Linked DNA regions of Neodiprion lecontei. Each later gene encodes a partner of the first gene's protein in a complex. Links are inferred from orthologs where the notes say so. Each region holds a gene or a part of one and is shown in the gene's direction. Other genes may lie near its edges. The genes, in order: cysteine desulfurase, mitochondrial; iron-sulfur cluster assembly enzyme ISCU, mitochondrial; LYR motif-containing protein 4.

Region 1 (11,662 bases):
TAGCTGTCGTCCCCGAGATAGGCAACGAAGTTACACGTTTAATTTCGCACAGAATTTCTCACCTAAATTGCTATGTATCTTCGGTTGCCCATCCCAGGAGCTACAGATGCAGTGACCGTGGGAGTACATATGATAATATTCCCACCCAGAATAATGGGGAAATTTGAGAGATTACATCGCTTTGTTGTGTATGCCTGGTCCAATAAATTACTACAGCCTACGATTTGAGTTTCAGTTCAATTAGTCATGGTGAAACCTATAAGACCTATATCTTATACCGTATTCGTTAAAGTAAGTAGCAGTACCGATTTACAACGTGAAACGAGCCTCGACGTGATCGATCTACGATCCTCGCTCCCTCCCCTCACCCTTCCATCACTTTCCCGACTGATGATCTATGCTCAAATTCAAAGAGTCCGGGCAGTCATTGCCGCCAGATTGCTGCTTCATGCCGTGCACCGTCATGTCCAGCATAGTACCAAAATCGGACTTTACATTCGCGATGGAAACGTCGTCCATAGAGTAATCGTTTCTGGTTGACTTCGACGAGTCCCCGGAGTCGGGGTTCTTCTTCTGTTCACCGACGGGCAATTCACTGACAGTGAGTTTTGTATCGACGGTCGACATTGCGACAAGACCCTTGACGACGTCAGAGGGCTTAAACGAGATGTCGGAAGAGATGAATTCGGATATGGGAAATTCGGTAGTCTTGTTAACGTCGATCACTGTCACGTCCTGGGCCTTGCCACCGAGGGGGTTGAACAGGTTGGCTAGGTTGCAGGCGTAGGCTGGGGACGTCTTGGCAATGTCGTTTATTGAGAAACCCGACAGTTTGGCCAAATCACTGGTTGAAAAGTTGGCCAGCTTCGAAAGGTCCGAGAATTTGCTCAGCTGCGATATATCGGCGAGTGGGAATTCAGGAATCCTGTTCTTGCCGGCACCGTGGGAGCTGGAATCGCTCGACAGGAGATTGCTAACCTTGGAAAAGTCCGCGGTTGAGAAATCGTAGTCTGGTTTGGAATTCTTTACGGAAACGGTCAGTTCACCGGATGTGAATTCAGCCGGCAACTTGTGCTTCGCATTGAGATTCATATCCGGCATCGGTAAGTCGAATTTCTGCCCTTTGGTGGCTTCAAGGGTGTCGTTTTTGTCCTTCGAAGTCGACGGCACGTTGAACGGCTTTAGTATGGAGACGCTAGAGTCTAGTTTAAAGTTTACGGGAGTGAGGAAAAGATTGTTAGGATTGATGCCAGAACGGCCCATGGGGTCAGGCACCAACGGGAACTTGACATTCGAAAATATATCCGAATTTCCCGCTATGCTCGATGCTTGCGTTGTCGTTGGCGGATCCTCCATTCCAGGTGCAACGATTTCTCTGATGGCGTCCCAGTACGATCCGTTTGACTGGTTCCTCGGTAGTTTTGACTCCAATGAGCTCTACGAAAAAGAATGATACAAAAATGTTATCTAGCACTGATTTACTTTTCATAATTCTCAATACACAAAGTTTTTGCACGCGTCGCATACTTGCCTTCAATTTTTCCAAATACGTCACAGAACCGTTAAAGATTCCTTTGAAGTCGACACAGCCGTCATTTTTGTAATACTCGACACATTTTTTCTGAAAAATTAAAAACCAGCCATTATAGTAGATACCTGAACTGCTGCACAGTCGCTAACTACGGCATTGAAATTCAGTGCTGAACATCTTACAATTTCATCAATAGCTTCCTGAGAAAGGAATTGTTCCTGGGACAGGGTGTAGCTGAGCAGCATTGGTCTCGGGTACTCGTGAGGCCGATTTTCCGGTGGAGGGAGCGACCAAAAGAAGTTGAAGTTTGACTCGTAGCAGTTATTATCTGTGTTATACGGAGCTGCGAAAAGTGAGCCAAAAATTTAAGACTGTTGGGATGACCAAAACGCAAACAACGAAACTCACAGCAGATAAGCCCGACACATGGTGTGTAACTATTGTCACTCAGTCCTTTCATCTTTATCTGATAGTCTAGTTGAGAATCGACATCGCGGAGCGACGGCGACGCGTGCGTCCTAGGATGGGAATGATACCATCCTACCAACGTGAGATGCTTCCATTCCATGGCTCGTGCAATTTCAGCCTCAGTTGCTGCAGCTGCAGTTTTGTCTTTCCCATTACATCGGCATGGAAACGCGTAGTTTATTGTCAAATCTATGGGCATCAAGATCCTTAATAAAAACCCGCAATTTTCAATGTTGTCTACAAATATGTGTTAGGAACTGAACCTCACTGTGAGCATTAATGTCCCAATGCCCCCCAAGATAACCACACACCTCCTTGTCCTTGAGATGGCAATGCAGGTCGACGATGAGCGCTGCAGTTGTGGAGAGAGTGACAAGAAATGGCTGAATTTTCCCAAGGGAACTGAACGACGTCAGTTCAACCATTGTGCTCATGTCCCTGCAGAATGAAACATGTGATATCTGATATTTGGCACGGAAGTGATGAGTTACGGGTTGACCAATAATTAGCTTACATTGCGTGACTTCTGATGCCGAGGTTGGTGTGCTTGACGGGAACTCTGACGACTGGCACGCTAACCGGTGGTTTTTCTATCACCTCCTCTGTTTCAATCGCGGCATCCATCATCATGAGGCTGAAATCTAAGAGAACACAAGAAGTGATCCACGAACCATGTAGCTAAAATCGCTAAAATTTGTGAGAGGATGAGTCGAATTTTAGGTTATGTATCGACAATAATATAAGCAAACCTAATTTTAAGTTCAACTTTGGGCAAGAATCGCAATACAGTACGACCTAAGGGTGATTTTACACAGTTACGAATAGCATTGTTGAAGAAATCGTTAAGATTTGTGATAATACAGTGCGGGGAAAATTCAGGAAAATCAGGATTACACTCTCGCGGGCGTCGGCACAGGGTCGGTACTGTTGACACAAACAAAAAGCACGCGTACTTTTAGTTCAGTCTGCTACCACGGCTGTCACAGAGCAGTACAGATGAGAAATTGACGCGGCATTTTCAAAACAAATCCAGAAGAGTAACATAACACGTAAATGAGACGAAGGTAAATGAATGTTTCGAACAAGAGTTTTACTTGGTAAATTATTTTAACTGATTTATAAAGGCTGTGTAATTTCGTTGACTCATTGAAGACTGTCGTTGACTGGAGACTATTGACGTTTTAAAAACGGTGACCCTAATCAGCGTTGATCAGATTAAAAATTTTTTTATGAACGTTTTATGTCAACGGTCATTTCAAAGGGTATGAATTCTACAAATTTTATTTACTATAGTGATTTCATAGAATCCATGCCAATTCTTTATTTCTGCGTTAAATGCAAATGTATAAAAGTGTTTTTGTACAGAATCGCGTATAGAATCGGGATGTTGAGCTCGTTTTTGCGTTTGAGATACGTGGACTTCGATGTTTGCAAATATATAAGTCAACATCAAAATCGACCAGGGCACTCTTAACAATGACTACTCTAAAACGGTAACCATCAGAGGAAAAGAAGAATACTGAAAGATGATTTCACATATTGGATGCATATTGGTCACTTTGGCACAGCTCATGCGCGCATAGTTGAATCTATCCAAACAACGCACTGTACCTGTTAACTCTAAACGTCTCTGCGTCGCATCAAATTTTTATCACAAATTCGTACGTGTAAAGTGCAATTAGCAAATGACAATCTTAACAAACATCCTGCACGGAGTTTTTCGCGCCATTGACGGCTGATCGAGGCCGAGGGGACGAGTTTCCGATTGGTGAGAGGCAAACAGAACCGCAGTTACGAGCAGGAGCTGTTCTATCAGGGTTACCGACGCTCTTTCAGGTTAACCGCACTTCACTTCACTTCATTCCAACTAATCTCTTTTCGTCGCGGCACCAATTGATCGGTGATCCTGCGTACGCCTAGCTCTCGACTCTCGAGATTCAAGATCTTGATTAGATCCGTACAGTTTCCTCTGCCTTCGCATCGAGATTCCTAACCCAAATTCCTCCTTTTTTTGAGCGCGCGACCGGCCAACTGATTGAGTAAATGTCGCACGACTGAAGAAGGCCGATCAAACGAAAGAATGTTTCGTTTGTGGAAACGACTCGTGCCTCTTGCGCGCGATCACCACGTCAACGAAGTGATTTCGTCGCCCAAGCGACACTACGCGGCTGTCAAAGAATTCGAATGTACGCTGAACTAGTAAACGAAAGATTTTACTACAAATTATGCAATTGCGCCTAACTACTTGTTAAAAATCGTTTTTTTCCAGCTCCCATCAGTGATGAGTACAAAAAGGGTCCAGCGGAGGGTCGGCCCTTGTATCTGGATGCCCAGGCCACTACACCATTGGTAATTATCCACCTCTCGAACGGAACTAAAATTATTCTTAATCTCACACTTGTGATTGTATAAACGTATTTTGTTTTAATAACGGTTTGTTTGGAAAAATTTCAATCGCTAAACTTCGCTAACTTGTTTTAATCAGTATTAGTACATCTGGGTGTCAACTGATACGTCGATTCTCATTTCAGGACCCACGTGTGCTGGACCAGATGATGCCGTACATGACAACATACTACGGCAATCCGCATTCCAGGACTCACATGTATGGATGGGAAACAGAGGCAGCTGTTGAGCGTGGTCGGAAAGTTAGTAAGGATCTCGTTTTCTCTAAGTGCTTTATATTCTATCCTCTTTCAATTTCTCTTGTAGCAAGTTGCTGATCTGATAGGAGCTGATCCGAAGGAAATTATATTCACGTCTGGGGCCACGGAGTGCAATAATATATCTGTCAAGGGTGTGGCTAGATTTTACAAGGAAAAGAAAAAGCACGTTGTAACGACACAAACTGTGAGTTGAAAAGGAAAATTGGATACGATGTAAACTATTTGATGCTCCATTTGATAATGTTTTCACTGTGAAATAATCATTGATGTTGGCTTACGTAGTTTGTTTCTAATTTTGTGATTACATTCCGTTTCAAATATATTGTATGCTTGAAATAAAATTAATTGGAGACCAGAATGGAAATATTTGTAAAACATAATGAAGTATGAAGCCACGGGCATTTGATGAGAAGTATTGAGGTCTCTCAACTTGTTCTTTTTACATAGGAACACAAGTGCGTTTTGGACTCCTGCAGAGCTTTGCAAGCTGAAGGATTCAATGTCACATACCTCCCTGTCAAACCCAATGGATTAATCGACATAGACCAACTTGAAGCTGCTCTGAGGCCTGACACATCACTTGTTTCGATAATGACTGTGAACAACGAAATTGGTGTCCAACAGCCAATTGCAGAGATTGGAGCTCTATGCAGGTTGTTATACTGTAAAATATATTTTAAGTTTCAGAACAAGACAAAGATAAAAGCGTTAAGTATTGAGCAGTGAACAGATTATCATATTTGTTGATATTGCAGAAGGAAGAAAGTTTTCTTTCACACAGATGCTGCGCAAGCTGTAGGAAAAATTCCGATCAACGTGAACGCGATGAACATAGATCTCATGTCGATCAGTGGTCATAAGTTGTACGGGCCAAAAGGTAGTGCATAAAGAGATCGAGAAATTTTTCAAAATATCCATGCATCTCAACTAATGTTTCAGGCATAGGAGCACTCTACGTCAGGCGTAGGCCAAGGGTTCGTGTCGAAGCCCTTCAAAGTGGCGGGGGTCAGGAAAGAGGCATGAGAAGTGGAACGGTGCCAGCACCTCTGGTGGTTGGGCTGGGGGCTGCTTGCGAGCTCGCACAAAAGGAAATGGCTGTTAGTACAACACTTTCTCAACTTTCCATATGCTTCACTGTAAAGTGTCCAGCATTACAGAAAATTGGGAAAACCTGAAAATGTCATGAGATTATTACTTTACAAGGAAATTTCAGAAAATTTCCAGGAATTTCATCAGTCTCTGATTTCAAAAGAAATTACATTTTTACGTCAGTTTGATAGTATCTGGTGTTAAGTATCATCTTCAATTTGAACTGAAAATTATCTGGATTAATACTTGTGTTCTTCTCCACGTTTACAGTATGACCACAAGTATATAGAAGATCTTTCCCAGCATTTGATACAAAAAATAATGGGCAGTTTAACGAATGTGGTGCGTAACGGTGATGAAGTTGCCTGGTATCCTGGCTGCGTGAATCTCTCTTTTGCTTTTGTCGAGGGAGAGTCATTGCTGATGGCTTTGAAAGATGTGGCGTTGAGCAGCGGCTCAGCTTGCACGAGCGCCAGTCTAGAGCCAAGCTACGTCTTACGTGCCATTGGAGCTGCCGAAGACCTGGCACATTCCAGTATAAGGTAGGCGTGAATGTACAATTTTTGCAAACTAGGATATCTGACATATAAATGCTGACAATGGCAAATTACTGTGCATTTCAGGTTTGGAATTGGTCGTTTCACAACTCGTGAAGAAGTCGATTACACAGCGCATAACATCATACGCCACGTTATTCGACTCAGAGAGATGAGGTATGTGTTTTATGCGCTCGATGTCAAAATTGAAACTCTAGCAAAAGTTTTGTTTGCTTGTAAAATTGATATAATTCTGTTTTCTCTTCCTCCTGCCAGTCCACTGTGGGAAATGGTACAAGAGGGTATCGATATCAAGTCAATCAAATGGACGCAGCACTGAACAGTTCCTACTCAAAAAGGGCTTTGTACACGGATTATTTGTTAAGTGATACATAGTAAATTATGACTAGCTTAGTGAGATTTCAAGTTTCCAGATTTCAACATTGCATTCGCTGCATAGTAGTATAAGAGTTTATGATAAATGAATAAATTTTTATTTTGAAAATTTATCAAATCGCCACACATCATTCATCCTCCGTCAATAAATTATTATAATATTAATATATGCTCAGCCAGCGTTTGTCATGACATAAATCATGCATTTTTAAATTGAAATCCGTTTCCTCTTGAGTTGACTAGAGAAACGTGTTCTGGGCATTAAAAGCTGAATCAAAATTAGCACAAGCAGGATGGCTCGTCGATTTCGTCGGAACTTGTGATTTTGAAGTGGTCCTTGTCCATATCGTGCAGTTCCATACGCGATCTGTTTGCCTCGACCAAATGGCGTGCAATATCTTCAAACATTTCATCAACCCCGTGCCCCGTTTTACACGACGTTTTGTACGTCGCCGATATCAAATTGTGACACTGTTCACTGGGAAACAAAAGTTACGACTGTCAATGAACTTATTGCTTTAATTCTCAACATATAATTACGATGTGAATAGATTATTTCTCTTACCAGAATTGTTCCATTTCCACATCTGTGACCTGAGGATCAACGCTTTCCAAGTCGCTCTTGTTCCCGCAAAGGAATATCTTAGCGTTTTCCGCGTAAGTTACAATGTCAAGAAGGTGCTGTGAGAGGAGGTGAAAGGAGGTCGGATTGTCAAGCGAAAAGACCAATATTGCCGCCTCTGCAAATTTGTAGTAACTGGATGTTATAGAGGCAACCCTCTCCATTCCTCCTGTGTCCCATAACTGCAGCTGGAAAGTCAGGACCACCCTCGACGTTGTAGAAAATTAGCCAAAATTGACAGGTGTAAATGAATATACTTGTCCGACACAATAAATTTAAAGCTGCACTTGCACGCGTGAAAATAACTGAACGTAACAGGCAAATGTGCTACTTACGCGAATCGTTTTTTCGTCAATGGTGTACTGTTTGTTGATATTGTCCAGTCCCAAGGTCGATTTTCTATCATTGTTTGAGACGAAGGTATTGTTCGCGAATCGCCTAAATATCGAACTTTTCCCGACCCCGTATTCGCCACATAAAATCACCTTTTGTTCGGTTACCTTGATGGTGGCCATTTGTTTACATCTAAACAATACTACCGATCATTGTTTAACGGGTTATATTTCCCACGCGTATTATTACCGATTATAACTACACACATTTATGCATGCGTACATATGCATATTCGTGATAATTAAAAAATATTCGCGCAGATTGCAGCATCTTTGTTCAGTCATAGACGTTTTGCTAAGCTCATAGATGGCGCAGACTGCCTAAAAACCGAAGAATCACCCTCGGTGTCCAACTACATCTATAATTAGTCGATTAGGTGCAATGAACAGAACCACTAGCAAAAAAGCTAGGAAACTTGCTACCGTTCACATTTGCGATCTTTGCTTTATTACATGTCTCATTTTTATATTTCAACTTAACATATGTTCCTTGTAATTATTTCGATAAGCAATATTTGACTCATCAAGCAATCACTGGCAGGTGCTGCTGCTGCTGTTCTTGAGATGAGGTCAACGCGGTTATCTTCTTCTTAACAATGTGAACCTTCTTGTTTGACAGGCATATGACGTAGCAGTGATCTTCGTAGGTTATGGATATTTTGTTGAATGTTTCATCGGACGCAAACGCCTTGGGATCGATCGTGTCGGTCAGAGTGATCAGGCTCATGATAATGTTTGCAATTCTCTCGTCGTTTTCCAGCTCTCCACCCGACTGAAATGACAGCAGTGAAAAAAAAAAAACAAAAGTAAACAATGATGAAGCTCTCGACTTGTATCGCGTTGTCATACCGTGAGTACCGCCCCGTCCTCTTTTAATACCAAATAACCGATTTGCTCAGGTATTCTCTCCATCGACAACATCTTCAAATAACCTAGCGGATGTTTGTATATTGCAGAATGGTAAAATTTAACGTAAGCACTGGGGAGCCGAGTATCAAAATTGTCCTTGCGAGGAAGTGTCACCTGTCAACACACAAAACCTGTGGTTTGACGTGTGGCGATAGTCTAAAATACAACGCGGTAGCCAGCGCGATGCAGCGCGATGTATTTTTCTGCTCTTGTTTTCTGCCTGCTTAGACTTCAATGTAGCCAACTGACAAAACTTGGAAATCTGGAGATATCATTTATCGTTTGTTCACCGTGGCGCTGTAATCCACTCTCCTGTAGTTTGGTCTCAAATTTACTCTCTAGCTCCTCTAGCTAATGAGTGCTGAAAATGGCCGAACTCTGTGAAGTTCGCGGTATGATTTTCTGTAGTAAACCACTGAGTTTACATCACTGATCTCTAGCATACAAGTAGAGGTCAGTGGTTTACAAATGAGACATAAATATCATTACATATCAGTGTAGCAAATGTCGTAGTTTCATCCTTGTTTTGACTTTGAAAATAAATATCTCATTTATTCTGAGGCATTAACAAGACGTTATTATCACGCATGACACTCACAGAAATTGCTAATTCAGCCCGCCTTTTAAATAACACCACACAGTACCTTTAATGCATGTGCAGTACATATTTCGGATATTTCGGGGCAAAATGAAAAAATATTGCGAACCGTAATTATGTAGATAGCCTGGAGGGCAGCTGTTATTAGTCCGATATTTTATGGCGGATGCCACCGCTGTTACATTGCCTCTCGGGCTTCGGCCGATTGACTCGACGGCTGGCCGCTCTAGGCGGCAATCGATTGCGTAACCAACTCCCGTTAAAAGAATGGCGCGTGTCAGCAATACTGTTAACGTCTAGAATTCGCTATCAATTTTATGTAGGGGTGGCATCAATTGACCCGTCAATGACAATAAACCGTTGGTTTATTGTACTCTTCGGACCCGGGGAGCGCGTCCAAAGGTCCCTGGGGTACACAACTTTCCGCGAGAGATAACACATCTCGGGAACCCGGTCGACGGGACCAGTGACGGTGCAACTCTAGGATCGTTCGATACGCGGTACGCAACCCGTTCCGTACACGTACTCATCCTATCCCCTAGTCGTATAATCCGGTAATAATAACAATAACAGGCGCCATGTTCCGTTCCTTGACTCGCCTGTTAGGACCGAGTGCCGCCGTGGACAGTGCGGCTCGATTACTTCGCTGCAGTACGTCGTCCGTCGCTCTGCTCGACCGAAACTCCTCATTCGACGCATCGCGCAGACGAAACCTTACGTGGACGACACAGACATCGAAAAACTTCAGCTCCACGTCAATCGCTATGGCTAAGATCAAGGTATCTATGAATGTACATATCTCACCCTGATCCATCACGCTCCCCCGAGGCGTCGCCCTGTTAGCCGATTCATCTTCCTGCAGTTTAAAAAACATTCGAGTCTCATACGGCCGGTCGCGATCGTCGCGTATCCGTTTTAAACAGTTTCTATACTAATGCCGCGACTGAGAGAAGGCACTTCAAATCACGAGACACTTGCGATTCACCTTTCGGGGAACTTTATTGTTCGCAGCGTTCGTGTTCCGAAGTATTCCGTATTTATTGCATGATTAGAACCCCGTTCCAAACCACCTTGGATGATAGTGCACATTATGGTGCACAGTGCAGAGGTCGATCCCCTCTCCTCCCCCCCACATTTAGTCGACCCATCGTTTGCCGTGGAATGTCGATGGTTTCACTTAAATAGAAAACAAGCTCGAGGTCGAGTGAAAGCTAATAAGTTTCGAATGATAAGGTTCCTACTACAATGTGGATATCACAGCGATCATTATCTCACGCGATATAAGCCGTAATAATCAATTGATTGATAGTTTGATTATTTCTCGGAATTTCCGTTCATGATTAGATTGTACAATGAAATTGTTGTAAATAAGATGTTCAGCAGTTTCTTATGAAAATACTTAAAGAAACAGCATTTTTCCAACAGGCTGGACCCGTCGTTGACATTCTTGGAGATGAGATGACTCGTATCATCTGGGACTCTATCAAGAACAAATTGATACTCCCGTTCCTGGATATTGAGTTGCACATTTATGATCTGGGTATGGAGAACCGGGACGCAACTAATGACCAGGTGACGGTGGACTGCGCGGAGGCTGTAAAGAAATATAACGTGGGCATAAAGTGTGCGACGATAACTCCGGACGAAAATCGAGTCAAGGAGTTCAAGTTGAAACAGATGTGGAAGAGCCCCAACGGCACTATCAGGAATATACTGGGCGGCACTGTCTTCAGGGAAGCTATAATCTGCAAGAATATTCCGCGGCTGGTGACTGGTTGGAATCAACCCATTATTATCGGCCGTCACGCCCATGCTGACCAGTACAAGGCCACAGACTTTGTGGTACCAGGTGCCGGTAAACTGGAAATCACCTGGACAGGTGAGTCAGGCGACAAAATCCAGCACACTGTCTACCAGTTCAAGGGGGCTGGCATCGCTCAGGCCCAGTTCAACACCGACGAGAGCATCCGTGACTTTGCCCACAGCTCTTTCCAGTATGCTTTGGCTCGGACCTACCCGCTCTATCTTTCGACCAAGAACACCATCCTGAAAAAATATGATGGCAGATTTAAGGACATTTTCCAGGAGATTTACGAGGCTGAGTACCGTTCCAAGTTCGAAGCAAAGAATATCTGGTACGAGCATCGGCTCATTGACGACATGGTTGCCTACGCTATGAAATCCGAGGGTGGCTTTGTCTGGGCTTGCAAGAACTACGACGGAGACGTTCAGTCAGATTCCGTTGCTCAAGGTTATGGCTCTCTAGGCCTGATGACCTCTGTGCTTCTCTGCCCTGATGGCAAGACGGTCGAGGCTGAGGCTGCGCATGGAACAGTCACTCGGCATTACCGCCAATATCAACTGGGTAAAGAGACATCGACCAATCCGATTGCCTCGATCTTTGCTTGGACAAGGGGCCTACTACACCGTGCTAAGCTGGACAACAACAACCAGT
Region 2 (11,122 bases), on another chromosome or scaffold:
GATTCTGCAGATGATGGTTTTGACGAGGAAGACACAGTCGAAGAAGAAATTACTTATAAACTTGGAGACTTGGGTCACGTTACTTCGATTAACAATCCGCTATTTGAAGAGGGTGATTGTAGATATCTACCTGCTGAGATCTTACATGAGGATTTAGCCCACATGCCTAAGGCTGATATCTTTGCGTTGGGATTGACTATTTATGAAGCTGGGGGTGGTGGCGCGTTACCTAAAAATGGTCCTGATTGGCATGAAATTAGGAATGGGAAGCTAAAGGAACTGCCACAATATAGTAGAGATTTTAACGAGCTATTGAAGGTAGGTAATCCCCGAAAAATAATAATCAAATTCTTTTTGCAAATTACATGTTTACTTGAAAAAGAAAAATGGTAATAAAGTATCAACTATCAGTGCCCGGATATTCAGAAATTTATCACCCATTTGTATATTTTCAATATTTTAATTTACGAGGTCCTTATCATTGCAGCTTATGATTCATCCGAAGCCTGAGATGCGGCCGTCAGCAGTAACGCTGATTCAACACAGAGTCCTATGTCCTTTTGGAAAAAAAACTAAAGCACAACTTAGGCGGGAGTTGAATGCAGAAAAATTGAAGAATGGAATCCTGTCGAAACAACTCCAAGAAGCTGCTAAGTGCCTGAAGACACTAGCGCCCAATATGACTGCTATGAATACTACAACTAATCTTGGAGGCTATAGGCTAAGGCCTACACCGACTAGAACCTCATCTCGAACTGTTGGGAAAAAGGTCAACCGTAGCAACAGCGCAACTATCTTTTAATACCTAACGATTTGTTTATTTATTAGAGGAGAGGGAAAAAAGTCAACGCATCCCAAAGACAGGTGTAATACCAGGCGATGCATTGATGTTGTGATATGCAAGTAAACTTAGTACGTAAGTCGAAATGTAATAAACTTTAAACAAAACAAAATTCGGTGCGTAGAGTAAAATGCATTGCCGTATATTTATTTTGAAGTTTAGCTATATGACTGATATGACAAGGTAATAAGTCGTATAATTTACGGGGTAAAAGAAAATTTTTAGGGAATTGAAACTATGTCGTGGTTGACAAATATTTTTCTGTACTAACATGCGTAAAAATTAGATCTATGTGCTCTATTTTTGCTTCAAATCGTGCTTTGTCATTGCTTATTTTTTTTTTTTAAATTAGTATCCCAAAAACAGATATAGAGACGTTACCGTGGCAAAATCTTTACCGGTAACGAGTTTAAATAACAGATGAATAAGATATAAATACCCTGCACAGACAGCACTATTCGCAGGATCATTGAAATGCTGGCATTTTTCGTGGAAATTTGTTTGGGTGGCCAGATAAAGTGAAAGGATCATTATTTTCTCCTTATCACTTTTTAAGTTATAATTTGGTTGCTAAAATCATGTTTATTCTATTCCTTTTTTGTGTGTGCTGAAAACATCGTAAACAAATTCTGCCTCTTGTGGTAACCCATTGTCGTATATAGAAATTTGACTCTGCATGCTACACAATAGTAAAAGTATACTCACGCTATTAGATATGTGGAGTGAAGTGCAGTATATTTTCTGAACTGAAACTTTATTTTTTTATCACGCTGAATTATTTTTTAATAATCTTAATGAGTACCTTTTTCAGTATGCATCAAATATCTTATCACACTACATGTACTCTATTATATGTTTCACATAGAATAGATGTTGAATAATTAAACTAAACGTTAGGAGCAAAATATGTTATTTTTAGTCTCTAGTTACGTTTGAGTTACTAGGTTCAAATTTCATTTTTCTATTTACCGATATTGTAGTTCCTTCAAATGGCAACTCCTGTTTATTATTGTTATAACTTATGAGACGTGTATACACTAGTATGAATTACTCGAAAAAACGTGATTTAATATTTAAAACCTGCAACAGTTGGTGCCTATTCTTCCAATAACTACGTAGAACAGTATTTCAGTTACAAATATGTTGATTTTAAAATCAGATGCATGAATATTATTTGTTTTCTGCCATATCGTGCAGCTGACAGCTTTTTGTTAAGAATGGAAATAAGACAGAACGCGAAAAACATGACCGAACTAATAGATAATTAGCTACAAACCTTACAGAATATTTTAGAAACATAACTTTCGCACGAATTTTCCGTAAATTAATGTATATACCACGGTAACCGAATTTTCACAGTTACACGTAAAAATTCGTCATCTTGTAAATAATCACTGCCCAGAATTGTTCTTATACCCACGAAAATTACTATATTGTATCTAGTTATTGCATCAGAAGTAATAGAGTTAAAATTTCTGACATCTAATATTGACGCTAGTACTGCATATCCATGCTCGTTTATCTTAAACGTATTCAAATATACTACGCTATATTTATAATAAAATCATTTCTCATCACTTTAAAAATATATGTCATTGCCATATCCATGACACAAAGGCTATCAATTTTTGTTTTTGTTTTTTTTTTTTGTTTATTTATTCTTTTGACACAGTACGTATAAAATTATCCGATTTTAAGCATTTTAATTGCATCTTTCGCACTGTATTGAAAAGTGTCATTTTACGCACCAACACCAGTGCGAAAACTTGAAGTTTACGCATACCATGTCAAAAAATAAATTACGAAACATGTGCGTGAAATCACATTTTACACACTAGTTGTATAGTATACAATCGTACATTACGTGCATCCACCCCTATTAAAGTCATTTATAATATGAAAGTATGTATAATTTGGTGTACCAAATTAGTAACAAAATCATCGCCGAATGTGAAAACGCGTACCGTAATTCAGTTACTAACGAATACACTCAATTACAAAGATAAGGTTTTGTTGTAATTTCCGTTTGAAAACGAAATATAACTATGAAACTAGAAATCTGCGAAGTTGTTTACAATTAACCAACGAGATAAAGCGAGTTAGATTCTCCGTGATAAATTTTAGATTCTGACTAAATTTGCATTCCATGCGCCATTCACCAATAAGTATTGTACATACATACATTGATATCGAAATAATAAATCATGACGTTGACTGAAGATGTACAGGCATGCATACTACACATATGGTATATATCTCCAGTCGCGATAACGCTCTATTGCGGTGACTGAAGACGCGAAAACGCTCTATTGGGTCTGGTCTAATTTCGAATTTCCCGCGAAATGTGAGTTGACAGCGTTGACTGCAGCTATGTCCATGACTGTGCCGTCAACGGAATGCGCAGGGCGCTCACGAGGTGCCGACGCGCACTGCGTCTCGTTCAGAATTGTTCTAGACGCTCGTCTGAGCTGTTCCTTAAACGACAACCGCAAATCATCAAGGCAAGTTGATATTTAACAACCATGTCTTTACTTCGTGTTTTGCCGAAAAAATTTACGGATGCGGCAAGTGTTCTATCCCGAAGTGTACCCGTTGTGTCATATCATGTCAATGTAAGTATTTCATACCTGATAACCTACCGTAATGTCCGATTCACTATTTGACATTTTGCGTAACAGTAAAAAAAATCTGTATAAATTTTTTTTATCTCGTAAAGTTCGGACATTGTTAGTTTCAGATTGTATTTTCAAAACGTCGGACTTGTTTACTTCTTAACTTTTTCGTATATCACAAACTGTATATGTCCCAATATTGTTGTAAAGGGTGAAATCATCAATCACCCGTGTTATCGGCTTTCTAATGATCTAGTAGTCATCTTAAACTGAAAGCTTTCATATGTCTTAAAATGAATAGGGTTGCTGGTCAACAAATATTATTGTGAAAACAGTCAGTCTCTGGACTTTAAAAAGAGAACTTCCTGACCAAATACATCCACTTTCTTTCTAAAATATTCCTCGTTTTGTGAGACTTCTTTGGCTCGGCGTTCGCTCAATTCGCGCAGTGAACCCATTGATTCTCAGTCCTTTCTTAATTTCCCCCGTTGTTACAATATTATCCAGGTGCTAGACCACTATGAAAATCCGAGGAATGTTGGTTCTCTTGATAAAAATGACAAACATGTGGGAACTGGCCTTGTAGGAGCTCCGGCATGTGGCGATGTCATGAAACTTCAAATAAAAGTTGATGAAAATGGAAAAATCACTGATGCTAAATTCAAGACATTTGGCTGCGGATCAGCTATCGCCTCTAGCTCTCTTGCTACTGAATGGGTTAAGGGTAAAACGGTAAGTTCATGCTTCGATTAATCCTGTGTGTGCATTATACTTTAAACATCGCTAATCACTATTAATATTTGTAATCAGGTTGACCAAGCATTGGAGCTAAAGAACACTGACATTGCAAAGGAACTTTGCCTTCCACCAGTCAAGCTACATTGTTCGAGTAAGTTTTAGCCCATTAGATTGATAATAGCATTGTTAACCTTTCGTTAGTGGCACTTGCTTGCACAACGAATTTCATTGTGCGGACAGCACTCTGCCACCTATGTTAAATGAAATGGGACATTGCCACGTCACAATATAGTAATGAAATCTTTTCATTAAACAGCTTATTTGATTATTTTGAAAATATATGTATCGAACATAATTTCTTTTAAATCTAAGAGTATATAAGCACACTGTGTGTATCGACCATCTTTACTGTCAGCTGAGATGTTCCAAGTCAGCTCTGGCAACGTGGTCGGAAAAATTGAATCAATGATTTAACTCGTGTAATGAGCACTGTGCTACTATTTCACGATCTTATTGAACATTAATATACTTTTCTTATACATTAAATAGTTATCAATTATGAGTATATCCAACTATAGTAAACATTTCAAAGAAAAAAGTAGTAAAGTATGAAGTCACAGTTACTCATATAGTTACATATATTGGGATTTTTGTCTAAAGGCTAAAGTCACGCTCAAAGTGCGAGTAATGAAAGGTTAAAGATAAGATTTGTATGACGAATCAGAAATGTAACTGGGTTGCTGGCATGAAAAATTAATAATTAATATTTCATGTACCAAAATCCAAGTGCTATGGTTTTTCAGTAGCTAGCTGGTAATTTAGTAAAGTAGACTTGGTAAAAACTATAATTTTTATTCTATATCAGAAATTCAAGGCAATATTTCCAAATCCAGTTTTTAAAAATCCATTTTAAACTTTTTTTTAACTTGCATTCGTAGGCATGTAAATTACTATAAAATTTAAAAAATCCTTATTTCAGTGCTTGCAGAGGATGCAATCAAGGCAGCACTTTCTGATTACCGCATTAAGCAGCAACCAAAAGCCAAAACAGCATCTGGCAGTAATGAAGTTTAGAGTTGCATACCTAGAAGTATAAACAGCACCAAGCAGGAAAACAAACTTTATAGGTCATAGTTGGCGAAAAATAGTATATTGCATCATATCTTGCAATCCAAATTAGTCAACGTTTAAATTGAACGTCTAATATTCTTTACTGTAGCTATCTGCTGTAGTACAATCTTGGATGATGAATACAGAATCTATAATAGTTACATGTATGATCAAGTTTATAAGAGTGAGATTCTGATCGAACGTAAGTACGTCGTTTAATTTCAAATTAAATTTCTCCAACTGACTTATACATGTATGTATATACATATAAACTTACATATGTATATATAGTATTCACTTGTATCCAAAATAATTGAAATTATATTTTAGTACGCATAATATTTATTGTTCGGGTTTATAAAGCTTGCGGTTATGCAGGTTCACGATATATCATAGTGATAATTACCTTGTGATCCTATTTTTCATGGAAATTTATATTTTATTAAAGTATATTATACATATAATAGCAGATCGGAAAAATTCTACTGAAGTAATAAAAGTGGCGTTCAAGCATTTTGGGTATATCTATGCCCTCAATTCCCGTTACTTATAATGTGCGTAAAACTTTAATGTGCATACTCTCAAATTAGTACAGGATAAGTACAATCTTGAGGAGAGTAAAAATTAATCCTCTAACTCTCGAGAATGCTAATGTCCCCCGAACTCGCGTCGGTTCAATAGATACATGCGGGCGGTAAGATAATTGAATGGCGCTATTATGCCATATTTGCGAGAGGTGATGACAATCAACGACGGGCTCGTCGCTGGCTAAAATCATCAGTCTCTCTTTAGCCTAAGCATTGACCCATGTTCCTTCCCACTCTAGAAACTCAGCCTGGTGCTGGTCACAGTATAAGAATAAGTGGTCCGACTCGTGCTGGATGCTGTGATTATTTTACCAAAGTTCACCAGCCGAGTCCAGGTGTCGCATAGGCCGAAAAACCACCGCCCGCAAAAATTTAAATCGTCTTTCAGAACAATTTGTATCCGCGCAAAAGTTGACGTTTAACATACAACCCGTTAATACCACTTTATAAATAAATTATGATCTTCGGGAACGCCAACTAACGATACTGGTGTTTCCGAATGCCGATACCCGTACTGGCAGTCAGGTACATAGCGGAACTTTCCCATTTTATTTTAATGTATCAACGGAGTAATCTAAAATTGCACCAGAGCAAATGAACAACCCGTTCACGAACTCCGTGACCAGAAACAAAGTGATCAAACAGGTTCGAAATAAAGATACAGGAAAAATATGTTTTCACAATCATCTATTGTGACACCAAAGGATACACGTGGCGGAGAGACAGGGGACTTTAGTAAAACAACAATCACAGAGCCTTGCATCGGGAGCAGAGACTAGTAGAGTCTCTGTCGGGAGTATAATAGAGCAGTCGGACGGACTAGGTATCTCTTAATTTTTACACCGTGGCGGCATTCGGCGCGAGTTCGGATCGGACAGGATTTGGTTCCAAGAGACACCGCGCGCGACTATATAAAAGCAATATGGCGGCGTTGACAGTAGACTCTGTGCTTGTGGGTGTATAATATTATCAGAATGAAAACTACGTAAATACAGTAGGAATTATAATCGTCAAACGTCCTACGTAATCAATGCTTAATGCGGATCGATAATATTTATATAATTATACTGCGCGATCCCAACCGAGCCGGTATTATTTTCAACCCGGGAACAATTTTCCGCGCTCAGGGGGCATTCTCTAGATGCCAAAATGTGTATCGTTAATGGATGCAAATTCTTTTGATTGTAGGTGTCATTGTTAGTTGGTTGCATAAATCATTCATGGTGGTTAGTTTTGTTTCTGGCTTATATTATTAGCCAAATTACTACCGGCCAGGATGTCTGCTAACCAAGGGAAGATGCGAGGTATGATATATCGCACGGTTATAATACGTAAATAACCTCGTCTTTCACTTCTAATGTCTTTTTTTTTTTATTCTTCAATTAAAATCGCAAGATTATTCAAATGCTATATATCTGTACTTTTACATTAAATAAGTGTGTAAATCTCTATCGTTATATTGAATTATTACTACCTTGAAATTAATACCTTCTAAATGATCTTCCATACATGAAAGATAAATCGTAACGATATTTCGGCATCATTGATTTGAAAAGAAAGATGTGTCAACGATGTATTTTGTAAAATAACTTCAAACAATCAGATTTATGACTGAACAATCACATCATGTAGTTTTTGCAGACCTATTTAAAGTTAATATTTCAACTTAGGCCCAGGTCGACCACCTAAACCAAAGAGTTCCTGCACTTGGTGCGGAGAAACAAAGCAGCCGTTGAAATACGTACTGCCGACACAGCATGGAAAAAAAGAGTTTTGTTCAGAAACTTGTTTATCCGAGTATCGCAAAGCCTACATCAGAGGGGCCTGCGTGCAGTGCGATAATGTGATTAGAGGGACTCCAGTCAGACTGGAACAGCGTGATACTCCAATCAAGGATTTTTGCTCTTCTTTCTGTCTTAATAAGCATCAAAAAAAAGAGAGTGAATCAAGAAAAAGTTAGTAATAATCCTAGATCAATAGACTCATTGATGTTTACTGTTATGGCGATAATGTTATTTCTCATAATATATTATCACAATATATAATCTATGTGTCTTTAAATATAGACAATGGTGAGCAACCATCTCCTGCAGCCTCTCCTGCACCTTCTGGCCTCCCTAGTGGAAGTAGCATCCCTTCGACAACGCAATCTTATACCGGCACCAATAGTCAACCAACTGTATCTCAGCCTCCTTCAACATCATCTGGTCCTTTCCAGTATGAGACGTACCAAACGTTTGATTGGGAATTATATCTCAAAGAGACCAACAGTGTGGCTGCACCTATTGATTGCTTTAAACAGGTACTACTTGTTTTCATCTTCTATTTTAGTTTCCTTTTTTGCACAGTATAAAATCTACCCATTGATTAAATTGATATTTCCCTGTAAAATGGCAGCACGAAGTTCCGCCAACAAATGAATTTAAAATGGGAATGAAACTTGAGGCACTGGACCCTCGCAACTTGACTTCTACATGCATCGCAACAGTAGTTGGAGTCTTGGGGCCGAGATTAAGATTGCGACTCGATGGTTCGGATAACAAAAACGATTTTTGGCGCTTGGTAGATAGCAATGAAATACATCCGATTGGTCACTGCGAAAAATCTGGGGGAATGTTACAACCACCGCTAGGTTTCCGGATGAATGCATCTAGCTGGCCAATGTTTCTTTTGAAAACGCTTAATGGCGCTGAAATGGCACCAGCTAAAGTTTTTAAACGGGAACCAAAAGATCCACGTTCCAATCTCTTCGAAGTTGGGTACAAGCTCGAAGCTATTGATAAGAAAAATCCACAACTTATATGCACAGCAACTGTTGGCGCTGTAAAGGATGACATTATTCACATAACTTTCGATGGATGGAGAGGTGCTTTTGATTACTGGTGCCGTTACGATTCTCGGGATATATTTCCTGCAGGCTGGTGCTTTAAAAGCGGACATCCGCTACAGCCACCGAGGCAAAAATGTAAGCCCAATTAAATTTAATTTTTCTGATACAGATACACAGTTGTGAAAGTATTTTTTAAATTTTAAACAGAAATATTGTGATCCATCATGATTAGATAATAAATAAAAATAAATTATTTCTTGCATGACAAAATTTATAAGTTGGATGGTTTTGAACAACCACGGAAGTACTATCGTAATTAAATTACTCTGGATCGATGTGTTAATATTCATATTTTTACTATAGCAACTGGACAAAACAGATTCAAATCGAGGACAAGTAATGTCTTGCCAGTGCTTACTGTGTCAGGGGGAGAACCAGCAGTAGCCTTAGTCAGCCCAGCCGGATCGAGCGTACCTCCGCAACCGGCGACAGAACCAGATACAAGCACGGCAAATACCAAAACTCGTCAATTTGAAAATGGTATGATAACCTTTTGAACAATGATGTAACCATCATTTTCGAGCTTGAAGATTCAATGGAGTATCAGAAGTATCTGACATTGATGCGAAATTTGTGTCCTGAAATGTGTATATCTTTTGTTACAGTAACGATGTTTGTGAATCACAATTGTTCATCTGGTCCTTATTTTGATCCTCGTAAAGTGAAAGCTATGCCCGCTCAGTTTGGTTCAGGACCAATGCTAAGCGTGACAAGAGACATTTTTCAAGCCCTGTTAATGGCAGCGATCAGCCCCAGACAAATGCTAAGTTTGTTGAAACGGGGTGAAGGAGAGTGCATTAATCTGACGCTTGAAAGCAAACCAACATCTGTGAGGTTACCAGTGTTTTTAGAAGAAGAAGATTTTTACACATACATCAGAAGACAACTCGAAGATGTGTGTGCCTGTGAACATATGCTCTTCAGGCGAAAGGAACAGTGTACAAAATGTCCTGTACAGCAATCGCCATCCAACAAAAGGGACGAGTCTAATGGCACAGCTGAGAAACGGAGATGGTCCTCCGATAGCCAACAAAATCCCACAACCACCGCACCACCCCTCCAATCCAGTCCTGGCCCTGTTTCTACAAACATACCAACCTCACCCACAGCAGCCAAACAACCGAGAAAGCCGGTCCTTGGTAAGAATTGCCAAGACATTGATTTCCGATTTTAAGGGAACTAGATCCACAAATAGATCCTCAAGAATTTCTGGATTAGGTGTGATCAAATTCAACCTTTGTCAAAGTATAGTTGAGAAATAGCTTAGCTTTTATTTCAGAATTAGAAGCAGCCACATCGACAACACAATCTGAAAGTCCAGCTAGCAGAATCTCTTCTTCAGAGCCTGCTGAGTGGACTATAGAGGATGTCATTCAATACATAGCTGCGACGGATCCTGCATTAGGCCAACATGCAGATCTATTCAGGAAACATGTAAGTTTCAGTGAAATCTTGTATTATTCATAATATAGTAAATAGTAACCCTTTTCCAACCATACCTTAATAATCACAATGAAAAGATCAAACTATACCAGTGCAATTCTACTATTGTTCACATAAACATATGGTAACGTTTCTCTTGTATGGAAAGCTTCAATTACATTATTATTCGTGTCAAAAATTTTAATCTTTGACAGGAAATTGATGGTAAGGCGCTGCTGCTTCTGAACTCAGACATGATGATGAAGTACATGGGTTTGAAGTTGGGTCCAGCACTAAAAATTTGCAACCTTGTAAATCGTATTAAAGGTAGAAGACATCTGATGCTGTGACCTAATCAAGCACATAAAGACAGATAAGATTTAGAATAACAATGATTATTTACATTTGAGTCTAATAATCAACTCTTCAATTACTAGCGATTGTATTTAATCGATATATCAATGCATAGAACTTGACCGATTTCTTTCTACAAAGTTCCTTCATGCAGTGCATATGTATTTTACTCTTCTCATATGAGTATCAGTTCGATTGAGTTTTTATTATCACAAGTTTCAGAAAGATATAAAATAATTTTCCTGGAGAAAATATAGAAATGGCTCTACTGCATGTATAGTACAATTCGTCATAATTTAATTAATAATACTTGCTAATAGATATAAATAATTTTATAATGTTACAATGGAGACGCACGTAACAACACGGTAGGCGGATTGTGTTGTACAGAGAGTCATTATATCCATGATTATTATTTTGGCATGTTACACACCACGAATTGGTTGCAAATGATTAGTAACAAGGAAGAGAAAAAAATGTATGATTGCAAACCATTTATCTATATGGTATCTATCTGCTTCATAGAAAGTAAAAAAATCAACGATTTAATTTCACACATGTAATAACT
Region 3 (9,935 bases), on another chromosome or scaffold:
GCTTCCAGAGTTACCGCAGTTATAGAAAGTCTCGAAAGGGAAATGGAACTTTTGTGTGTAACAGGCGTTGAAGATAAGCTCCAAGATCGAGTAAGGCCTACTTTGGAGCTGCTAAGAAATGCAGGAATCAAGGTACAAGTGTATTGCCATTCTGATTGTGCCAGAAAAAATTCTAACGACATTGTTTAAACTGTGATGAGTGAAACAAAATGGAGGGTCACACTCTTTCAACTTTTCAGATATGGATGTTGACAGGGGATAAATTGGAAACAGCAACGTGCATAGCAAAGTCTTCCCGACTAGTTTCGCGAACTCAAGGACTTCACGTATTCAAGTCCGTTGTGACAAGAACAGACGCACATTTAGAACTGAATACTTTTAGGAAAAAGCAAGATTGCGCGCTTGTTATCAGCGGAGATTCTCTCGAAGTGTGTCTTCAGTACTATGAGAATGAATTTCTGGAATTGGCATGTGGCTCGCCAGCCGTCGTCTGCTGTCGATGTTCACCAACGCAAAAAGCCGAAGTTGTTACGCTCATACAACAGCACACTGGCAAAAGAACTGCAGCAGTTGGTGACGGTGGAAACGACGTTTCAATGATACAAGCAGCGGATGCTGGTGAGGATGTTACTTTGTAAATCGTTAATATATTTTTAGCTTATGACAAGCTTGGACTAATTGATATTTTCATTTTTTGCAGGCATCGGCTTGGAGGGTTTAGAAGGACGTCAGGCATCTTTAGCTGCTGATTTTTCGATTCCTCAATTTAGTCATCTCTCTACATTGTTACTCGTTCATGGCAGACGAAGTTACAAGCGATCTGCTGCTCTGAGTCAATTCGTCATCCATCGTGGCTTGATCATTTCTACAATGCAGGCTGTGTTTTCAGCGGTTTTTTATTTGTCGTCTGTGGCGTTGTATCAGGGATTCTTAATGGTTGGGTAAGTATTCAAAATCAATACCCCAAAATTATTGATTGATTACGGTGGCAGAGAAACATTCAATTTGGTCTTGTTTTCAGCTACGCAACGATTTACACGATGTTCCCAGTGTTTTCATTGGTATTGGATAAGGACGTATCCGAAAAAATTGCACTTACCTATCCAGAGCTTTATAAAGATCTTAGCAAAGGACGTTGTCTGTCTTATAAAACATTCTTTACGTGGATTTTGATCAGTATATATCAAGGTAAAATACTGTTTATAATCCTTTTCACGCTGTACACTGCTGCTACTGATTTAAGTATGTGACTATTTTTTCAATAAAATTTTAGGGGGAGTGATAATGTATGGTGCCCTCATCATGTTCGAAGATGAATTCATCCACATTGTGGCTATTAGCTTTTCGGCGTTGGTATTAACAGAATTGATCATGGTGGCCTTGACTGTTCGAACCTGGCACAAAATTATGGTTCTTGCTGAAATTTTATCTTTGGGGTTATATTTGTTATCCTTGGTCGTGTTGAAGGATTATTTCGGTAAGTAAAAATTAATCATTTTGACAGTTTTCATCAAAGACAATAGTTATTTTTGTAATTTTGTCAATAGTCTTGCACACTAATGTCTTGGCACACTAATATATTTTTCATCTAGAAGTTAGTATTGGAGTTGCGATCACACCCCATTTCATTACTATACTTACTAAATTCTTAATACTAGCACAATATTTCTTTTCACGTGTGCTATAATAATGACAAAAATTTACTTTTATACAGATGCCGAATTCATAAAAACCACAGATTTCCTTTGGAAAGTACTAGTGATAACGTTGGTCTCGTGTATGCCGTTGTACATTTTGAAATTTTTGAGAAAAAAGTTTTCACCACCGAGTTATACAAAGTTGACTTAAAGTTTAATGTGATAAAATTTGACCAGAGGATATGCGTAATCAAGATAAACTATACCCTGAAGGATCAATTATCTAATAATAAATTGTCACAAAAAATTACTGATTACCTAAAATATTATACACATGATATATTAAGCATCAACGCATTTTACGGCACTCACGTAAATTAAAAACGAGGTCTAGGCAAACTCACTCGACACAAACTTATGGGCCTTGTCTCAATCATTCAAACCGGGACACTGTAATTAATGATTTCCGTGGAAACACTAGATTTTTATTACATCCAAGCATAAATGGTCTTTTACTACAGACGAGGTAAAACTTTTCCAGTTGGACAGATCTCTTGTGTATGTCAATATACTCCGAATGAAGAATGCAAACAGCAAAGCTTGAAAGCTGCTTTGAAACTGTAGTGGTTTATTTTCTAATAATACAATGCTAACACATTTTTTTATGCTGCCGTTTTATAAGTTACCTGATCAAAAAAAAAGTTGTAATTCAGACAGTTATTGGCATTGCCCTATGAATATTAATCAAGGCAGTCAAGAGGATTTTGAAATATTCTGCATTAGTTAATAGGTATATTTTAAAAAGCTTTGTGATTCATTGCAAGGTTTGCCTAATAGGCCTGCTTTGCTTATATTTCTGATAATTTAATCTTCAAACGAGACAAATAGTTTATTAAACGTCGCATACTAGACTCAAAAATTAAATTTTAATTGCTCTGCATACCATTAGAGTCGTGAGATATAAACATATATTTTTTCCTGAGAAAAATTTTTGTGATCATGTTATAGAGACATTTAAAAGTATACACAGAAACGATGACTAAAATAAGATTGATAACTAATTATAAATATACATGTATACATGCATACATATGTTATTATATAATCTGTTTTTAGTTAATTTATGCGAAATAAAATAATATATTAATTACTTTAATATCCTTATCAAAGTACTAAGAATGGTTGACAGGGTACAGTTTTAACACAGCGTTCTGTAAGTAAACATGATTTATTAATATTTCAAATTACCTAATCTCAACATTGAATTTATCCTGAACAGCTCTTCCGATTTTCCGGTGAATAGTATTAACTTCGAATTTTGTCAAAGTGCGTTCCATGTGTCTATATGTAATTTTATAACAATGTGACCTGCGGTTATTTTTCGGATGAACAAAATCATCTATCAATGCGACTTGCTCGATAATATCCCCTCCAATATCCCTGACTATTTCGAAAAAATCGTTTGGCGTGAACTCAGTTTCGTTTGGCAGCCAGAAACTTATATCACTTGAGGATGGTGGATAGATACTGACTCGCTGAAAAATATCATTTATTAGTTATATCTCAACCCTTAGCAACCGAACAAATAGAAGAAACAGATTAATATTTAAATTCATTCAAGACGAAATCAAACTTCTGTACATTACCTTGTATACAATTCGTGAGTGGTAATCCTCGACTTTAAATTGGTTCAAAAAACCAGGATCTTCACTCCAAAACAGCCTGATGTCTGGTATAGAGTAGAACAACATAGCAAGACGTTCCAAGCCAGCACCAAATGCCCATCCTATACGATCTGCAGCTCCAGATTTCTGCAAAATTTCTTGCCGTACTATACCACATCCTAGGACCTCTAGCCATTCATCATGCTTCAAAATTTCCAACTCCCAAGATGGGTGAGTGAATGGAAAGTATTCGTCAACCCATCGATATTCAACATCTATGAAAATGAATGACACGTTATAACATATGGATGAAGTGGTAATTTTCAAACTATTCCAGTACGAAGGAGCAGACAAAAAATGACTACAATTTAGATGCACCTTGACCGAAGAAACTCTTTACTAATCCGACTAGAACGGTTTTTAATTCATGTTCCATAATTTTTGTTGCTTCCAAAGTATGGCACCCTTGTTTATCAGGACTGTCCGATTCCCTGTGCTCAAATATCCTCAAGTTTTTAGAGTCCTCTACATTCTGAAATATCTCATCTTGTGTCCGAAGTCTCACACCATCCACTTGATGAAATACAGGATAATGTGTCGAGTTAATATCATCTCTTCGATAAACGTCACCGATGATTAAGAAGTTGTTCAGACCCATCAAAATTAGTTCTGCTTGATGAGCCGTTGTATGAGCTCTGAGTAAAGTTTCAGAGTTGACATAATAGCAATCAGTTTTACTTCGACTGGGATGATCTTTTGGTACAAGCAGCGAGTCAAAATTTTGTTCGACCGTGACAATTGGTCTCAGATTATCATGGACACTGAATAATGGATTGCCCACTTTATTTGGATAGGCTTTGTAAAAATAATCTGCGATCCGTTGTCTTATGAGTGACAACGGATGATCAGGTTTTAGATGTAAGTTTTTTCCAGGATATTGGGATATCCTTTTTGTCACATTTGTCCATTCGTCTATTGGGTATTTCTGATCGAGAAGTTCAAGTTTCTTTCCCTTTTTCACCAGTTTCGATGCAAGGGAGTATTTTCTAGCAGGCGATATCCACACGCAGGCATGACGTATGGTTTTCAGCATGCTGTATCTGTAGTTTATTATAAAAATTATGTTACTTTATCGTTCTACGAAATATGCGATGAATACTTGGGCAAAAAATGTTTAATTTTTCTAAAAAAAAAGTTACAAAGAACACGTGTATCCACTGTCATTCAATTCTATAATCACATAGAGCAATCGGTTTCGGAAATTTTCTCTGAATGAGTACCTTAACAACTGTGTATGAGAAATCATCTTTAATCAATTACTGAGACAACACCGAGAGTCACCGGTAATATTTACAAGTACGTATTTAAAACTAAAATAAGGTTAGATTATATAAACCAACGAGTGCATCAGGTATGCGTCTCACAGTCTTCTCACATAATATCTAAGAAAATTCCAATTGAAATTTACTACGGTGAATATTTCACACAATTAATATAAAAATTCTTTTACAATGTGAAATTAGGGTTAGGTTAATTGTTGTTACTTTTTAAAGGCCCCTCTAGATGGCCTGCCATCGTACACACCTGAGTTTTCACTAGATCGAGAGAAAGAGTGGGAAGAGTTACGTTTTTCACCTACAACTTCCATTCAATGTCTTCAAGCTCTCTCTACCACCAGGTGTAGCATTGTTGGCTTTATATCCGTTTAAGATAATATATTATTATTGAGAGTCTTTGGTCTGCATAATTTTCCAGAGATCATTGTGTCAATTTTCGACTTTGTATAATTTCTTACCATGTTGGCAGAACTGGCTATCGAGTGATTTGTTTAGCTGCCAGGAATCATGGCTGTCGCCCGTGAAATGATCGTCAACCTCTACCGAAATTTGATCAGAGAAAGCAAGAAATGGGATTCATACAATTACAGGCAAGTACAAAATATCTATCTAAATACGTAGAGGTGGTAGGGCTTGATATTCATTCTCTTTCGTCCGCTAAGAGCCTCGATCAATGTCGGCACGCATGGTTCGGCTTACGCAACGTAGTAGGTCGAGTGACTTTCTACTTGACAACCACGTGCATCCGGCACTGCTTGAGAAACTTGTTAAAACAATTCTTATAAATTTGTTACAGTGTCAACGCGCCAAATAAACCTTGTTCGAGAGCTAAATCAATTTTGTTTGAAATGACTTAACTCTTACAATTAATAGAATGTTCTCGCGTACGGTTTTTCGATTGTTATCGTCACGTGACATAGCATCGCCTCTGCCGACAGACAAGGTGATTTTAATAATCGCGTATTTAATCTTGTATTTCAGAATGTACGCACTTAGGAAAATCCGTCATGAATTCAGAGAAAACAAATTGCTCCAGGACGCAGAGAAAATAAAAGAAAGTTACAACTACGGACTGACGAATTTGGATATGATCAGAAGACAAGTGACGATCGGGAATCTCTACAGCACTCGCCAGCTCGTGATAGAAACAACACCTACGCAAAAAGCGCTGTAAATTTAATCATTGGATAATGCAACGGTACGAATAATTGTTATTATTTAATATCGTTCAGTGAATTGTGTAAAGGACTTTTATTGTTGATCAGTTCGTTTATTAGTACTAAGCCGGTAAATTATAAATAAAAATCAGTCATCTCTGTCTGCTCATGTATTGTATGGCCCTGCTCTCAGAACAATCGTATATCTTAAAGTATGCAACTTCGATAATCTACAATCTCCAAAAACACAAGACTGCCAATTTCAGAATCTGTGCATTGTACGTACGTTTTATTTACATTCGAAATACAAAATGCACGACGACTTCCGAGCATCGCGATTAATGCTCCGCCATGTCGCATGTAATCACGTAATCATACGACCAGAATGCTAATTATTCGATAATCTTTTTCGAACCCGTTCGACGGTCGAAATTATTTCCGAATAACTTGGTAAATAGTATGAGAAGTACGTCAAACATCTTGTACACAATATATCTAATCATATCTCCACACGAAGAATCGAGTGAGGTTACTTATACGAGTAACGATTACCGGTCTAGATTGCTACAAAGACAACGGTATCATAATTATCAAATAAGGGCGGTACTCGCATGAAGAACACTTTGTAAACAGTAAGATATGACGAACAGTTTCTGGTTTTCGGATTCGGACGGAGCTATGTTTATTCTCTTACGAGCCACGGTCGCGACAGGCGAGAGACGATTCGCTCCGTTGCCCTAGACGGCTTCAAGTGTAAACACAGCGAATATTCTTACTCTCAGAAACATCGCGATGATGCAGGATCCTGTGCATTTATCCGACATCTCAACACGTTACTTTCGTGATTTCGTTGCCGCTTGCATGCATCATTTACTTTTAACCGCGTACCGCGAAATAATACATATGTTTCTCCTGATCTTAACAATTTTTAATTGAGCGATGTGAAGTTTTTTCAAGTGCGTGTTATTTAACTTGTTGTAATTTTCATTTGCTACAGTAAAACAGTGTAAATGCTTCGTTTTTGGAGGCTTAGAAAAAATGTCTGACGTCGATTGAGATTTCAATTATTCCAAACGTCAAGAAGAGTGAAAGAAGCTTGACGGTACAATCAACTCGAACTACGAAAATTTTAGGTATCATCGGTCGCGGACATTCTGCCGATGGTGTGATAGGTAAGTCGCTTTAAGATTCTTCTAATTCAATCATGACTGCGTCCTGTACCTGTAAAAAAGTGCGTTGCGCTGATGCTGTTTCGTTTATCGAACAATTAAGTTATTTGTGTGCGGGAAAAAAAATGTAATATCTGGACACGCAAATTTGTTACAGACCGTGCCTAATAACAGGCAATTTAATTGACAGACCGCTCTTAGCGTTTTACTAACATAGTTTCACTCACAATCAGTAAACATAGCGTATTGGTAAAACGATTTGCTACCTTACGTACTGCCTGATTTATTGGTAGTGTAGCATGCATCGCTACAGTGATGTCCTATTTTACCGACTACTGATAATATCATCTGTCAATGATGGTTAAACAGATGACAACACCGTCATCACTGGTTTGTTTCTTCTCATACCCGGTGTTGCTAAGACGATTCAAATCTATGTAAATGAATGAACACCATAGTTTCACACTTGAGATCACTGACCATCACTGACAGTTATTAACAGCGCTCAGATGCAATCGGACGGGTTGCACAGTTAAGGTTACTGTGAATTCTGCGAGTTTTCCAAGAACCCTAAATTTAACGATTCATTTTTGCGAAGTATCGTTATTTCGCAACTTGAGATTTGTTGGAAATTTAGTAAACTATTGATATAATTCAGGAAAATACAAACATATTTTGGAAATTTAATTCGTTTACAGTAATTCAAAAAAAGCAAAAAAAGTGATATTTTTCTTACATTTTCCATTACATTAGCCTTATTGACTTCAACCTCGTGGTTAGCACCGACACAATTTTAATTTGCGAAATTCACTCGTAAAATTTTGCTGAGGTTATTGATTAAGTGGAATAAAGACGCACAAAAAAGTATATGATTCGCTATGCAACAATCGATGAATTGTTGGTATGTGATGAATAATTTGCTGCAGATACGCGAGTAAAAATTATTCCGCGGGTTCGGTTTTTTGGCTAAGCTCGTCACGCAAATTCTCTGTAGAAATGACGGCAATCTTTGCTTTTGGACTAACCACTGGAATACATAGCTACTTATTCTATGCCGCCTTAGTTAGATTTTTTCTTTATAAAAATTTAAGCTCCAGAACATTTCAAGTGTAGTTTCTCTCTCCAATGCGGTTACGCTAAAGTATAGAATATCCATGCTGGTTTATTATGATCTAATTTGTATGATAAATAATTAAAAAACAATCTTGAAGCTTACCCATGGACTTTACGTAAGAATATGACAATTTTCGAGATGGGTTTAACTGTCAAGATTGTGATTTGTATTTATTAGTGAGTTTTCTTTCGTTTGTAAATGCGAATATGGTGAAAACGACGGGGAAAACATTGAAATAAAACGATGGTTGGCATGTGTCATAACGATGGAAGCATGAAAATTGGTCACAGCCACGCAGTGCATTTGGTAATATTTCGCGTAAAGCGACCAAGGTGTGGGTATAAAATGAACCTAAAAAGTTGAACGAAAGCTACCAACCCCTCTCAAGCTTCCTCAAGATGTCTGCGCCTCGCTTGCGCCTAACGCGCCCAGCAAAAACTTCGTAATGAGCGAAACGAGCCAAGCTAAGGGGTGATGTTTGCAAATCATTAGTCTGCCGTCGAAAGCGCCTCCCAAGTTAAGGGGAAGGAAGCCCTACGAACATGAATGAAGAGGGTTGTGTGAGTGAGGAGGATGAACGAGGAGGGTTGAAGTCGAAGCAGCACGAGGACCACTGACGTCTTGTTTGCCTACGTACCGTAGGATTATTCGCTTCCGTGAAGAAGAGTTATAGATGTTCTATGAAAATTCAGCCTCCATGACGGTAGCGTTCAGCTCTCGGTTCTTGGTACAGCTATTTGAAAATGTTCGAAGACGTCGTAAACACCGTGCGGCTGAGGTGTTCGCTGTGAAAGAGAGGAAAAGAACAAACAAAAAAATAACGCTTACGAGCTGTAAGGAAAAAGATTCACCAAGAAACAAATACAATTTGTCGTTTGTGGTTTTGCTCGGAGGCGTTACTGCACCTTTCCCAGGATTCCGGAATTACACGGAGTGTGAAAAGACCCTCTGCAAATGAGCCTTTGCAGAGGTAGCAAAAAAATAAGAAAAAATTAACTCGTTACGAAGACTTTCTAACGAACGTTGAAAATTGTTACGTAGATCGCTTCGCATCTGTAAGTCAGGCTTAAGATGTCTGAATCCATCACGAAAGATATCCGCCATTGGGATTACAAATTTACTAGGGTGAAGGCGGTTTCCGTTTTTACGAAAATCACATGTCTGGAGCGAGATTTTGAATTTTGCATTACATAAAAGCAGAAATGTAAACACCAACTCATTGAGGACGGGGTGGCTTTTACAAGAGCTTTAAATCCTCTGACGAATTGCCTGCAATGGTGATCTGGAGGTACCAGCGCAGTAGTATAGACAACGGTCTATTCGGTACCTTCGCCCTCTGGAAACAAAGAAAACAAAGATTTTACTTGGTGAAATTACACGCAAGAGGAATTACTGTAATTTGAGGTTCTTCAGAAAGCGTACCTACAGTAGGCGGCCGGAGGAGCAGACAGGGAATAAAGACGTAAGAAAAATCCGGGAAATGAGGTTAAGTCAAGCGGCAAAGACGGCAATACTCGCTCTAACCAGCGTGGACGAAGGTTTCGCGACGTTGCGGTTGAAGCTTCTCGGAAACTGAAATTACTTCCTTTGCTTTGCTGTAAGGATGGAAGTAAGAAGACGGAGAAGGTGGACGGAAGATCATTTCTTTTAGAGCCGTTTCACCCCGCTTATTGTATAAGTTTCTCATCCCGATTACTGACTCACCGCTAACCGTCAAGATGCGGCAACGTTAATTTAGTTTGCACGCGCATAGCTAATCGGGCAACGCCACGTAATGCGATTTGATCGTCCAGAGTCCTCCGGGATAACCATGACATAACAGCCCTTCCCTTGGGAACCTCCATAAATAATACCCGT

Evidence for each region.
Region 2: cysteine desulfurase, mitochondrial (region 1) and iron-sulfur cluster assembly enzyme ISCU, mitochondrial share a complex: the UniProt entries of both Drosophila melanogaster proteins name them as parts of the mitochondrial core iron-sulfur cluster (ISC) assembly complex. The link is inferred for Neodiprion lecontei from reciprocal best matches to the Drosophila melanogaster genes Nfs1 and IscU.
Region 3: cysteine desulfurase, mitochondrial (region 1) and LYR motif-containing protein 4 share a complex: the UniProt entries of both Drosophila melanogaster proteins name them as parts of the mitochondrial core iron-sulfur cluster (ISC) assembly complex. The link is inferred for Neodiprion lecontei from reciprocal best matches to the Drosophila melanogaster genes Nfs1 and bcn92.

The regions. Positions count from the first base shown.
Region 1 is NC_060264.1:23,143,932-23,155,593, forward strand, and holds cysteine desulfurase, mitochondrial, read left to right. Parts: upstream 1-4,049; 5' UTR 4,050-4,079; coding exon 4,080-4,185; intron 4,186-4,268; coding exon 4,269-4,348; intron 4,349-4,530; coding exon 4,531-4,647; intron 4,648-4,711; coding exon 4,712-4,849; intron 4,850-5,112; coding exon 5,113-5,318; intron 5,319-5,420; coding exon 5,421-5,542; intron 5,543-5,604; coding exon 5,605-5,762; intron 5,763-6,024; coding exon 6,025-6,296; intron 6,297-6,377; coding exon 6,378-6,467; intron 6,468-6,566; coding exon 6,567-6,630; 3' UTR 6,631-6,799; downstream 6,800-11,662. Other genes in the region: uncharacterized protein LOC107224137, read right to left, coding at 376-1,437, 1,532-1,621, 1,714-1,874, 1,940-2,188, 2,268-2,437, 2,514-2,629; GTP-binding protein YPT6, read right to left, coding at 6,966-7,164, 7,252-7,496, 7,644-7,823; ragulator complex protein LAMTOR4 homolog, read right to left, coding at 8,224-8,472, 8,550-8,621; isocitrate dehydrogenase [NADP] cytoplasmic, read left to right, coding at 9,786-9,986, 10,633-11,662. UniProt on the Drosophila melanogaster protein: Catalyzes the removal of elemental sulfur from cysteine to produce alanine. It supplies the inorganic sulfur for iron-sulfur (Fe-S) clusters.
Region 2 is NC_060263.1:33,900,918-33,912,039, reverse strand, and holds iron-sulfur cluster assembly enzyme ISCU, mitochondrial, read left to right. Parts: upstream 1-3,279; 5' UTR 3,280-3,363; coding exon 3,364-3,453; intron 3,454-3,960; coding exon 3,961-4,185; intron 4,186-4,263; coding exon 4,264-4,342; intron 4,343-5,170; coding exon 5,171-5,265; 3' UTR 5,266-5,814; downstream 5,815-11,122. Other genes in the region: wee1-like protein kinase, read left to right, coding at 1-318, 488-802; polycomb protein Scm, read left to right, coding at 7,165-7,192, 7,559-7,843, 7,955-8,190, 8,286-8,853, 9,082-9,258, 9,384-9,917, 10,058-10,212, 10,416-10,550. UniProt on the Drosophila melanogaster protein: Scaffold protein for the de novo synthesis of iron-sulfur (Fe-S) clusters within mitochondria, which is required for maturation of both mitochondrial and cytoplasmic [2Fe-2S] and [4Fe-4S] proteins.
Region 3 is NC_060262.1:37,510,460-37,520,394, reverse strand, and holds LYR motif-containing protein 4, read left to right. Parts: upstream 1-4,949; 5' UTR 4,950-4,979; exon of another isoform or gene 4,980-5,022; intron 5,023-5,107; 5' UTR 5,108-5,145; coding exon 5,146-5,228; intron 5,229-5,619; coding exon 5,620-5,812; 3' UTR 5,813-5,956; downstream 5,957-9,935. Other genes in the region: probable phospholipid-transporting ATPase IIB, read left to right, coding at 1-132, 240-618, 701-941, 1,022-1,188, 1,274-1,477, 1,715-1,848; probable phenylalanine--tRNA ligase, mitochondrial, read right to left, coding at 2,882-3,172, 3,284-3,576, 3,680-4,401, 4,846-4,949. UniProt on the Drosophila melanogaster protein: Stabilizing factor of the core iron-sulfur cluster (ISC) assembly complex that regulates the stability and cysteine desulfurase activity of Nfs1 and participates in the [2Fe-2S] clusters assembly on the scaffolding protein IscU.